Linked DNA regions of Mus musculus: region 2 is reported to be linked to region 1. Evidence: microRNA targets listed by miRTarBase, many of them from high-throughput screens and not tested one by one. Region 1 holds a microRNA gene; the other region holds the end of a gene's coding sequence.
The links. Region 1 holds the annotated microRNA mmu-miR-301b-3p (CAGUGCAAUGGUAUUGUCAAAGC, at 2,914-2,936, opposite strand). A microRNA usually pairs through its seed, bases 2 to 8, with sites in the 3' UTR of a target mRNA and lowers its output. Matches are read on the target gene's strand: a 7mer-m8 pairs with bases 2 to 8, a 7mer-A1 pairs with bases 2 to 7 and ends in A, and an 8mer does both.

Region 2: miRTarBase lists Esyt2 as a target of mmu-miR-301b-3p. Seed matches in the 3' UTR shown: 7mer-A1 at 845-851, 7mer-m8 at 2,151-2,157 and 7mer-m8 at 3,154-3,160.

What each region holds. Positions count from the first base shown.
Region 1 is chr16:17,121,507-17,126,579 of GRCm38, forward strand. Mir301b (microRNA 301b) reads right to left here and starts at 2,990; the gene lies at 2,894-2,990. 2610318N02Rik (RIKEN cDNA 2610318N02 gene) reads right to left here and starts at 3,696. Exons shown (of 7, transcript NM_001358255.1): 1 at 3,484-3,696; 2 at 1-45. The coding sequence starts at 11. Mir130b (microRNA 130b) reads right to left here and starts at 2,636; the gene lies at 2,555-2,636.
Region 2 is chr12:116,369,685-116,374,757 of GRCm38, forward strand. It overlaps Esyt2 (extended synaptotagmin-like protein 2), which reads left to right. Exons shown (of 22, transcript NM_028731.5): 21 at 328-377; 22 at 487-3,414. The coding sequence ends at 532. Among named protein-coding and RNA genes, the nearest start is that of D430020J02Rik, 33 kb to the right of the region's middle.

The sequences.
Region 1 (5,073 bases):
AGGACTTCCATTGGAAATGGACTGCTGGTGGTGGGTCGATGCTACCTGTGGGTAGAACGACCGTCGGGGCAGGGCTCCTGGGGCAGGGAGACCCTCCCGAGGGCCAGGACTGAGAAAGGTGATGGGAAACCATCGGGATGAGGACTGCAGGGCGTACCCACTCTCTCCCTACAGCCGCAGTGCAGACTCCAGATCCCCAGACTACCCACCCCCCTCCCGGTCTACCCCAGGGAATGAATGCCCACAGAGACAGGGGGCGGGTCCAGCACCAGTACGCGTAACAATGCTCACTTCTCTAGGCATGCGCATTGGTGTGCTCCCCACCCCACCCCGCCCCCACTGCTCCACCCCTCACTGTGACCGCCAAAGGCACCCAGGTACCTTCTGGATTTTGAGCTCCTGGATTTTGACCTCCTTCTGAGCCGTGGTCCTTTCCGTTTCAAAGCACCCAGCCCTCTCCCAGTTTGCAGTTCCCTCCATACTCTGCCCTACCAGACCGCCCTGGTAATTGAATCTACTTTCCAGTTCACTAAGATAATATCCAAAAGGACTTCCTTCTGCCCCCCAAAGGGCTTTAGCTCTGGCTTTTGCACCCTCTGAGTTTCCTACCTACTCGGAAGCATTACACACATCCCTCTCCAGATCATGTCCTGACCACTTCTTTTGCTTGTTTTTTGAGACAAGGTCTCCTATGTAATTCTAGCTATATTGGAATCCACTGTAGACCAGGCTGGAACTCTGCCTCCCAAACAATGGGATTAGAGACTGCATGCCTGCACCCATGACCACTTACTTGCTCTATGTCTTGATGTCCTCCTGTGGCCTCTCCTCACACCTACCTCCGCTACCTTCCTCTCCCTCCCCTCCCCTCTGGAGTGCTAGGGATTAAACCCAGGACCTTGTGCATAATAGGCAAGTGTTCTACACCCTGAGCCAATTCAAATTCACAGAAGTGACTTAGCCAACCTAAATCCTTTGCGGCCCAGACCTCCCCTGATATGTACATGTAAGATATGTAAGATATGCACATGTAAGATATGTAAGATATGCACATGTTAGGATTCCTAGCACCTCAGGATGGATCTGCTGTGGCAACAGCTGCTGACACACGTCTACCCTAGCCACAAAGGAGTGTGGTTGCTTCTTCCCCATCAAAGCCCTCCGTCAGGCCTGAGACTCATTATGTATCAGAGCAGTCCCCATGGGTGCCAGGACTTGTGGAGCTAGAGTACTATTAAGGCTGATTTTCTCAATCTATTCCCAAAAGGGAATCTGGAAGCCTGGGCCTCCTCTCAAGGAGGCAGGCCTGACCACCTCCTACTAGGTTTTTGTTTGTTTGTAAAAGAGGGGTGGGTGCATTGAAACAGGGCTTTACCATGTAAATATAGCTCTTCTGGAACGTGCAGGGTAGACCAGGTTGTCCTTGAACTCACAGAGATCTACCTACCCATGCCTTCCCTGTGCTGCATTCAAAGGCATGGGCCATTGGGTCTTGCCGCTAAAGGTAACTCTGCAAGCACACTAAGGATCGGGCATCCTTAAAAATTCAGCTCCAGGGCTGGAGAGATGGCTCAGTGGTTAAGAGCACTGTTCTTCCAGGGGTCCTGAGTTCAAATCCCAGCAACCACATGGTGGCTCACAACCATCTGTAATGGGATCCGATGGCCTCTTCTGGTGTGTCTGAAGACAGCTACAGTGCACTCATATAAATTAAATAAATAAATAAATAAATAAATAAATAAAAATGAGCTCCAGCCCTGTCTGGAAAGCAGACATACCAGACACCTCCATGCCTCTCCTACTCAGCACATACCCTCTTTGTAAAGGAGCAAGCAGACATGGCTGGCAGGCCTACTCTGCAGGCTTCTTGTTCCAAGTCCATCCATCTGGCCCAGGCAGGACACTTCTTCTGAGCCTCAAGGTGTGAACCCAAGGTGTGGTTATCTCAGGAAAGGCTGAGTCCAGTTCTTCCCGAGGCAGTCAAGGCTAAGCAAGGTATACAAACCTTTTCCATACAAAGAGGTGAACATCTGTTTCTCTCCACAAGGTCCTGGAGTTCCTAGTTTTGTTTTGATTCTTCAGACAGCTTCAAAACTGAGACAATCTTCCTGCATCAGCCTCCAGACATGGGCTCACCAATCTTTCTTTCTTTTTTAATTGATTAATTAATTAATTAGTTAATTTGGTTTTTCTCAAAACACGGTTTCTCTGTGTATCCCTGGCTGTCCTAAAACTCACTATGTAGACCAGGATGCCCTAGATCTGGGTGATCCACCTGCCTTTGCCTTCCAAGTGCTGAGATTTAAGGCATGAGCTACCTACCATTCACTCACCGCCGCGCCCCCTGCAGCAGACTCCCCTATCTTAACCTGGGGGGAGGGGGCTAAGAGCTTGAGACTGGAGCCTTTCCAAATCTGGGGTCTCCCCTTTGTACTGGTTCCAGCCTTGGAATATGGTTCTCAGCATCCACCTTATCCTTTTAGCTAGAGATAGCTATCTCTATCTAAGACTATGATCCAAGCACTGACCCTTTTGTTCCTCAGGCTCCTTAGCTGGCCCGACAGATGCCCTTTCATCATTGCACTGCTTCCCAGAGGCCCACAGTAGTGCAACAGGGAAAGAGTGTCCAACAAGCCTGTCAGTCTCACGGGGTGGGGCGGGGCATGGGGAGTTGGGGTGGCTGGAGTGGGATCTTAGACCTAGAACGCATGCCCACCTGGGCGGAGCCTCGGCCTGAGCAAAGGATGCCCTCTGACCCCAGAGACACGGGCCTGGCTACAATCTCAAGTTTCCATGGAGAAGAGAGTAAAATGAGCAGGGGGAGGGTACGGCCTGCAGGCCTGAGGGGCCAGGCCTGGAAAGGGAAGAAAGAAGGAACAGTAGGTGAGGTGGTCTTCGAGGCTGGTCCCAGATGCTTTGACAATACCATTGCACTGCTTCTCACAGCACAGTAGTGCAACCTAGTCAGAGCACCCGCAGCCAGCAGGAAATCCATCGCCCTCGCTGCACGCAGGGCTGCGCTGGAAATTCAACCACCATGGGTGGGTGGGACATCTATCCAAGCTCGGAGAACAGACGGGATTCCAGCCCGGATGCAGTCCTCTGGACTTATTAACTTCAGGGAACTCAAACTTTCTCTAACAGGCTTCTGATTCTGGTGAGGTACTCCAAGGAGGGAGCTGAAGGGCGAGCACCCGAGGGGGCTCAAACACAAAGGAGAGAGGCCTGCGCTCAGTTGCAGAGGGGAGCACAGTGGGACTACTTGTACCCTGTTTCAGACCAGAACTAGAATAAGAGGGATACTTCACTCCTTGCACGTGAGGCCCTTGGAGTCCGAGATCCGGTCCTTGGTCCATTCCCCCAGTATGAGTTCTGCACTCTATCCTAACAGATTCTCCTGCCTAGAAGAGCAGAACTAGGGCTTCCTGGCATCTGGAGTTTCCCTGGCCTCACCGCACACCCTATCCCAGACCAGTTACTCACGTGGACAGACACCTCTTGTTCTCACCAGGGGGACAAGGTGAAGCTTAGTGGAAGATCCAGGTAGGCGGCGGCCCCGTCATATCTGGACAACCCCGCACCTCAGCACCTCGTGGCGCCCTCTCTCCCTCGGCTCCATCTTTAACCATCTGACAGTCCCGAGGGCCGAGCCCCGGGCCTCAAGGCACAGCGCCAGCCTCATTGGCTTGCGCCTACACCAAGCTTTGCCTCCTGCGCACCTATTGGCTGCTGCTGGAAAGATTTCAAAATAGCCTCCAGGCTCCGATTGGCCAGGCGCCCGAGTTTTGGCTCCACCGTTTTAACAATGAGTTCTACAAACACTTTCTCCTCATTCATAACTCTTGAAAAGGAGCTCTGTCCGCCTTTTCCCAGCTCATTTCTCTGTAGTTATTATAGTGATACTCATGAGGGCGCGTCCATGCTTACTACACAGCTCACCAAATTAGCGAGGGCTCTGAGATCCCGGCAAAGTGTCCTTTGGCCAAGCCAGCGGTTGAATGAACCCCTAGGGGATGCTTCGTATTTCGCGAGAAATTTGTTCATTGCTCCTCCAGGATGGGACATTTACTTAAAAACCGTGGCCTTCCCTCTTTCTGTCCAACTTCAGAGCATCGTCATCAGGAAACCTCTGGCTGGGCTGAGGAGGCCCTGGCACTTTTTGTAAGTGAAGAAATGCTCTGATGTCATTGATGTCATTGAGAATGTGAACCACTTTATGGGTAAGAGTTCATTAAGTGACCTTTCTGAGCTAATATGTCCAAAGATACACAGCACCTAGCACCCAGAACCTGAGGTGTTCTACTCAGTTCTGTCAGCGAAGGGAAAAACAGAGTTTTGCAGCTGGCGTCTGAGCTTTACCCCTAGTTATATCCATATGAGACAGGGAATCTTTACCCCCCAGCTCAAAGGCTGAAAGAAAATATTTTTAAAGCAGACAGAGCTGGTTTTCGATCTTCAAGAACTCATTTTGTCCACTTAATTTTAAATGTAATTTTTTGTGTATGGGTGCTTTGTTTGCCTGTCTGTACCACCATGTACATGCCTAGTGTTCAGGGAGGTCAAAAGGCTTTCTATCCTCTGCAACTGAAACTATAGAGGATTGTAAGCAAACACATGCATGCTGGAAATGAAACCCATATGCTCTGGTAGAGCAACCAATGCTATTAACACTGACCCATAATATCTCAGTCCCTACATTGTTTTGTCTTCTTTGGGAAAAAAAAGAATGCTGGTTTTTTGAGACATCGTATATCACGGCTGGCTAGTTGAGAACTCACAGAGTAGACCAGGCTAGCCTTGTGCTTATGGTAATCCTCCTAGGTTTTTGCAGTACTGGGGATACAGCCACCACACTGCATCGCTCCACACAGATACAAAATAAAACATCCAGAAATTCCAACATTTGGGAAGTGGAGAAAAGAGCCAGAAGTTCAAGACCAGCCTGAACTACATGAAATACTGTCTTTAAAGAGAGGGGGCTCACCAGAAAGAAGGCTCAGTGGTTAAGAGGGTTGGCTGCTCTTCCAGAGGACTCAGGTTCCATGCCCAGGATCCACAAGTTGTCTCAAAGGC
Region 2 (5,073 bases), not on the chromosome of region 1:
CCCGTCAGTTAGTTGGCAACCAAGCTTTTAAACATGAGCCTTTTATAGTCACTTCATATCTAAACCACACACTGCCATTAGTGACATATTTGTTAGTATCTCATAGTATCTCTTTTATGTGTTTCATAATAATTGTAATACTATTAGATACAAGAAGAATCTCTTGGATGTACTCAGCTATGTAAAGGTTAAAATGATTTTTAAAAATGAGAACCTCAAAACATGAGATTTTCATATTGTTAAGAAATTAGAGAGGTAGGAAGGAGTGATGAATGATCTAAAAGGAATTACCCAGGAATTTTCACAGAACCTTCTTTTAATCCACAGGTGCTGGTTGTTCTGGCATCTGAAGAACTCGCCAAGGGCTGGACCCAGTGGTGAGTGCCCCTGTCCCAAGTTGCAGGCAGTTCCCAGAGAAACCTAGCTGCTGCGTCTACCATCCCAAAGCCTGACCCAAGTCTGTTGTACTTTCTTGTGCTTTCTCAGGTATGACCTCACAGAAGATGGGACAAGGCCACAGGTGATAACGTAGCTACGCTGGACGTAGGTCTATTTTTCAGTGTATCACGTGGCACCTCAACATGGAACACACCTTCTCGCAGATGTACCAATGCTATTTTTATAATTTTAAGTATTGAGTTATACATACCTTAATAATTTTATAAAACTTGGCATTGTAGGAAAATTTGGCCAATATTATTGTTGAATCTCCCTGTTGAGCTTCCTCCAGTGCTTCACCAGTGGTGTAGTGATGTGTTTCCTGTGCTGTGTGGAGCTCTGTCAGCTGCACCTGCTGGAAAGCAGATACCTGGACTTGTTTCTGCCTTGTCCTGCATCCTGGAGGTGCACTACACCATGTAAATAGATTCTTTTTTATAATATCTACATGCTGGTTTGGATAAAGAAGAAAATGAATTAAGGAAATATGTATTTTCTTCTAAGACTTATTACATTCTGTGACAAATTAATCATTTTCATCTTTTCAGCAAAATGTTCTCATAGATCTGTTGTGTGATATGGCTTTTTAAAGGAAAAAATGGAAAGATTATTAAATATTAGAATTTTTATGTCTATTATGAACGATAAAACAAATTTCAAATTACTAACATTATTATAAATAGGAAAATACAGTGAGAAGTCAGTGAATGGCTAATTTTAAAAGTTGTATAACTGAGTACTGGACAATACCGAGAGCATTGTCAAGGCTCTGGAGAATCACAGTATACTCATCTGAAATGTATTACATAAGAAAGGAATGTGCTGTTTATTTGTGTAATTGTTTGTTATAACAGACTCATGAGTAGTAGAGAGATGCACACATGCTAGGCGTTGTACCTCACATCTGTAATCCCAGGGTATGGGAGGCCACACCAAGAAGACCCAAGTGTTAAAGGCCAGCCTGGGCTACACCTCAAAACTCTGTCTTGGGAAAAAGAAACATACATTATATTTTGCCCAAAGCATATTAGGATATAAGGTGTTATCAAGAGTGATGCAAGCTTAATTTGTTTTGTCCTTGTTTCTTACCCTAGGAAGACAGGTCTGTTGTTACTGTAAAGAGGTGAAATGGGATGGATGCATAGTAACAAAGGGTGCTGAGCTAAAGACGTTAGTTAGAGCACTGCACTTGCTCTTGATGGGAGAACCTGGCCATAAGTCCACACACAGGACAGACACCTTCCCGAGCTTCCCCTCATACGTGACAAAAGATCCTGCGCAGTGCCAGCAAGCTGCTGTAAGGCTTGAGATTTCCTGGATATCCTCATTTTGTGCCATGCCAGATGTTAATACAATTTTTATTTTGGAATCCTTTTATTTTTAGATTGGGAAAAGCATGTTTTGTATGTAAGAGATCTCAAACCTCTTGTGAGGTGAGGCTATGTCACAGTATTATAAGCTATGCTTGTCTGTAAGCAAAAGATGCACAAATGTAGGAAGATTTTTTTTTCAGTATGCATTTTAACCTCTAGGATGAAAAGGGCTTCTCAGCTATGAGATCATTTAAAACTATGTACACTTATAGCAGGAAAATACAGCTTTGTAATCAAAATTGGAGTAGTTCCATTCACATGCTTCTTGGAATTAAACCTATGGGAAGCTTATGTGACCAAACATACCAAAGTGCCTGTGATGAATATCGAGTGCTCCTTTTGCACTCTCCTCCTGTCTAAAAGATGAAAGTGTGCCTCAGTTTGTAATGTAACACGTACAGTTGTAACACAGTCTGTGGCTCTTCACAGCACACCCCAGGTAGTCATACCGTCAGAGTAATCTCTCTCCTGCCATCTGACACCTTCCTCTGAATCCTGTTTATAAATCTTTTTTCATTAGTGAGTAGGATTGTGAGAAAGTTTGTGTAGGTACACACATGAACATATATGCACATAAAATATTCAAGGGTGGCATTTTAGTTGCAGGAGAAAGGCAGGTTATATTAAAACTAGTTGCTTGACCATGGTATTAGCTTTTTTTTTCCTTAAGTGTGTTTTTAATTAAGTCCATTTAAGAGCTTCTGTCTATAAAAGAGATTTTTTTCCTGAAATTGTATCATGGCAATCGTTTTTTCACCAACAACCTATCTATCTTAGTTTTGCATCCATAGACTTAGTTAAGTGTGTATTTTATTTAATGGAATGCTTTTCATAACTAATTAGGCAAATTGAGTAGAGTTAAGGGTACAATCCCCTAATAAATCAGTATGATCCCTACTACAGTCACAAAAGCTGGTGCCAATGAGTTCAGATACAGTGCCCCCACGTGCATCATCTGAGTCTTCAAGTAGCATCTCCAGTCTAAGTGGAAAGGAGACAGAAGGTCTAGTAATACTAGTCCACTTAGTTGTAGTTCTGAGTGCTGCATGAGGAGGGCTGACTTGCCATCAAGGCACACTCCAGTGTCCTAAAGATATAAAATAGATAGATACTTTTAGTTCTCAAAATGTTAACTTTTAGTTTTTAATGACTTACCTAGGAAAAAAGAATGTTACATTTTCTACTTTGAGCCAAACCAATGAGGGAAATTAGTGATTTGAAGTACAGCTCTCCTAACTTATTCATGTGGTGGCTTATCCTGTGCCTTAAAGTACAAAGGTGTTTTCAAGTTTCAGGTGAAAACAGAAGCAGCCTTGCAACCATATGTACTACCATTTGTATTTTGCACTCTATATTTCTTGTACAGGCAGTCCCTATGCAGAGGTGTTTAGGATTAGTTTAAAAAACCTCAGGCAGATACAGAGAGTGCAGCCTGCTGCAGTGAATGGTCCCATCTGGATTACCCACTGTAGGGTAATAGAGGGTGGTTCTTGTTTTTTGTTGTTTGTTTGTTTGTTTTAATCATAGAATGTCCTTTTTGCTTAATTTTATATAACAGCACATGTATTTATTCAATAAAACTTTTATGTTAGTGTACTCGTAATATGTTTTTTGTTTGTCTCTTGAACAAGTTTAGTGTGGGAACAGCTAATTTGGAAAGCTCACATGCTGTTTCAGGTATATTTGCTATTTGTGCATTCTTTCACTGTTCATGTGGTTTGATATTCCTCTTGTTCCCATCCTCGTTCAAAGAGCAAGCAGCTCATTTTGAAGGGCAATGATTGAGCAGAAAAAGTAGACTAAATAAGACTGGAACACTGAGAAGTTCCCAAACAGGATGCTGAGATAGAAGGTTTGAACAATGGGCAAATGCTTGGGTGTCCAGTGTCTCAGGTAGATTTGAGGAAGTACCTTGTTGTCTTTCTTTGGCATCTTCACATTTTACCCTTAGTTTCTCTGTATACATGCTGAAATGCCACCTTTGCTTGACTTTGTTTGTTGATAGGGTAGCTAAGACTGGCTTTCAACTAACAGTCTTTCTACCTTGGCATCTTAAAGGTTGAGATTACAATTGTATGCTCCCAGCCTAGTTTCTTTGTCTTTTATAATGCCTTTGTTTACATTCATTAAAAAAAAAAATCTTAAGACACCATACATTGAGCTATACCCCAACCTTTACTACATTACTCTTTACTGTTGATGTTACAAAACAACAACAACAACAAAAACCCTCTTTTTTGCGGGGCGTGGTGGCGCACGCCTTTAATCCCAGCACTTGGGAGGCAGAGGCAGGTGGATTTCTGAGTTCGAGGCCAGCCTGGCCTACAGAGTGAGTTCCAGGACAGCCAGGGCAACACAGAGAAACCCTGTCTTGAAAAAAAAAATCCTCTTTTTTTCTCTTACCTACACTCTAAATATTAAAGTATACATGTTACTTGTTTTTTTTTTCTTTTTTTTTTTTTTTGTGTTCTGAATACCACTGACCATCTGTGTTTTCTAAATCAGTATCACAAATAGACTATCCAGTTCCCTGTATAGCAACTTTCTTCTATGCATCCTAGCACAGTTCCCTCCTGTCTTTGTCTCTGTCTGTCTAGGGACCTGAGCTGAGGACTAAACAGCATCCTGCCCTGGCTCCCTCCCTCACATACACACATATTAAGTCTTTAATCATGACTTGAAGACATACCTACTTCTGCTACTGCCTCACGCCCATCTTGTCTCTTCTACTCTCAACTCCCAGTTCTCTGTTGCTCCCTTCTTTGTTTTAAAGACAAACCTCAACTACAATTTTCCATTGCTTTTGCAATGAAGACTAAGAATCTATCATCTGTCCCATTCCCTGAGACTGTGCCAACCACGTGTCCTCCAGGATCTACTTGTACTCAAGTTTAGTTACCATGGATCTTCCCACCTCACCATCTCCAGGATGCTTTTCAAGAGCCTGCACATTGTCCATTTCCTTTCCCATGATGTAAAGTTGATTTTCTCAGCGTCCTTTACCAGCAGTCTAACCTTAAGCAGCCTACATGATTCAGACCCTTGGCACCATGTTACCATGTTCATTTTACTTAACAGCGTTTCAGTTGACTATTATAATCTTTCTGCCTAGACTATAATCTACTAAGAGCAGAGACTGTGTGAGTATTAATTTTTAATGACTATTCTTAGCATGCAAATGATAACCCACATATCTGTTGAATGAATGATCTATAAACATTTATAAACTGCACAAGACTCTCATTTAATGAGTTTATATTCA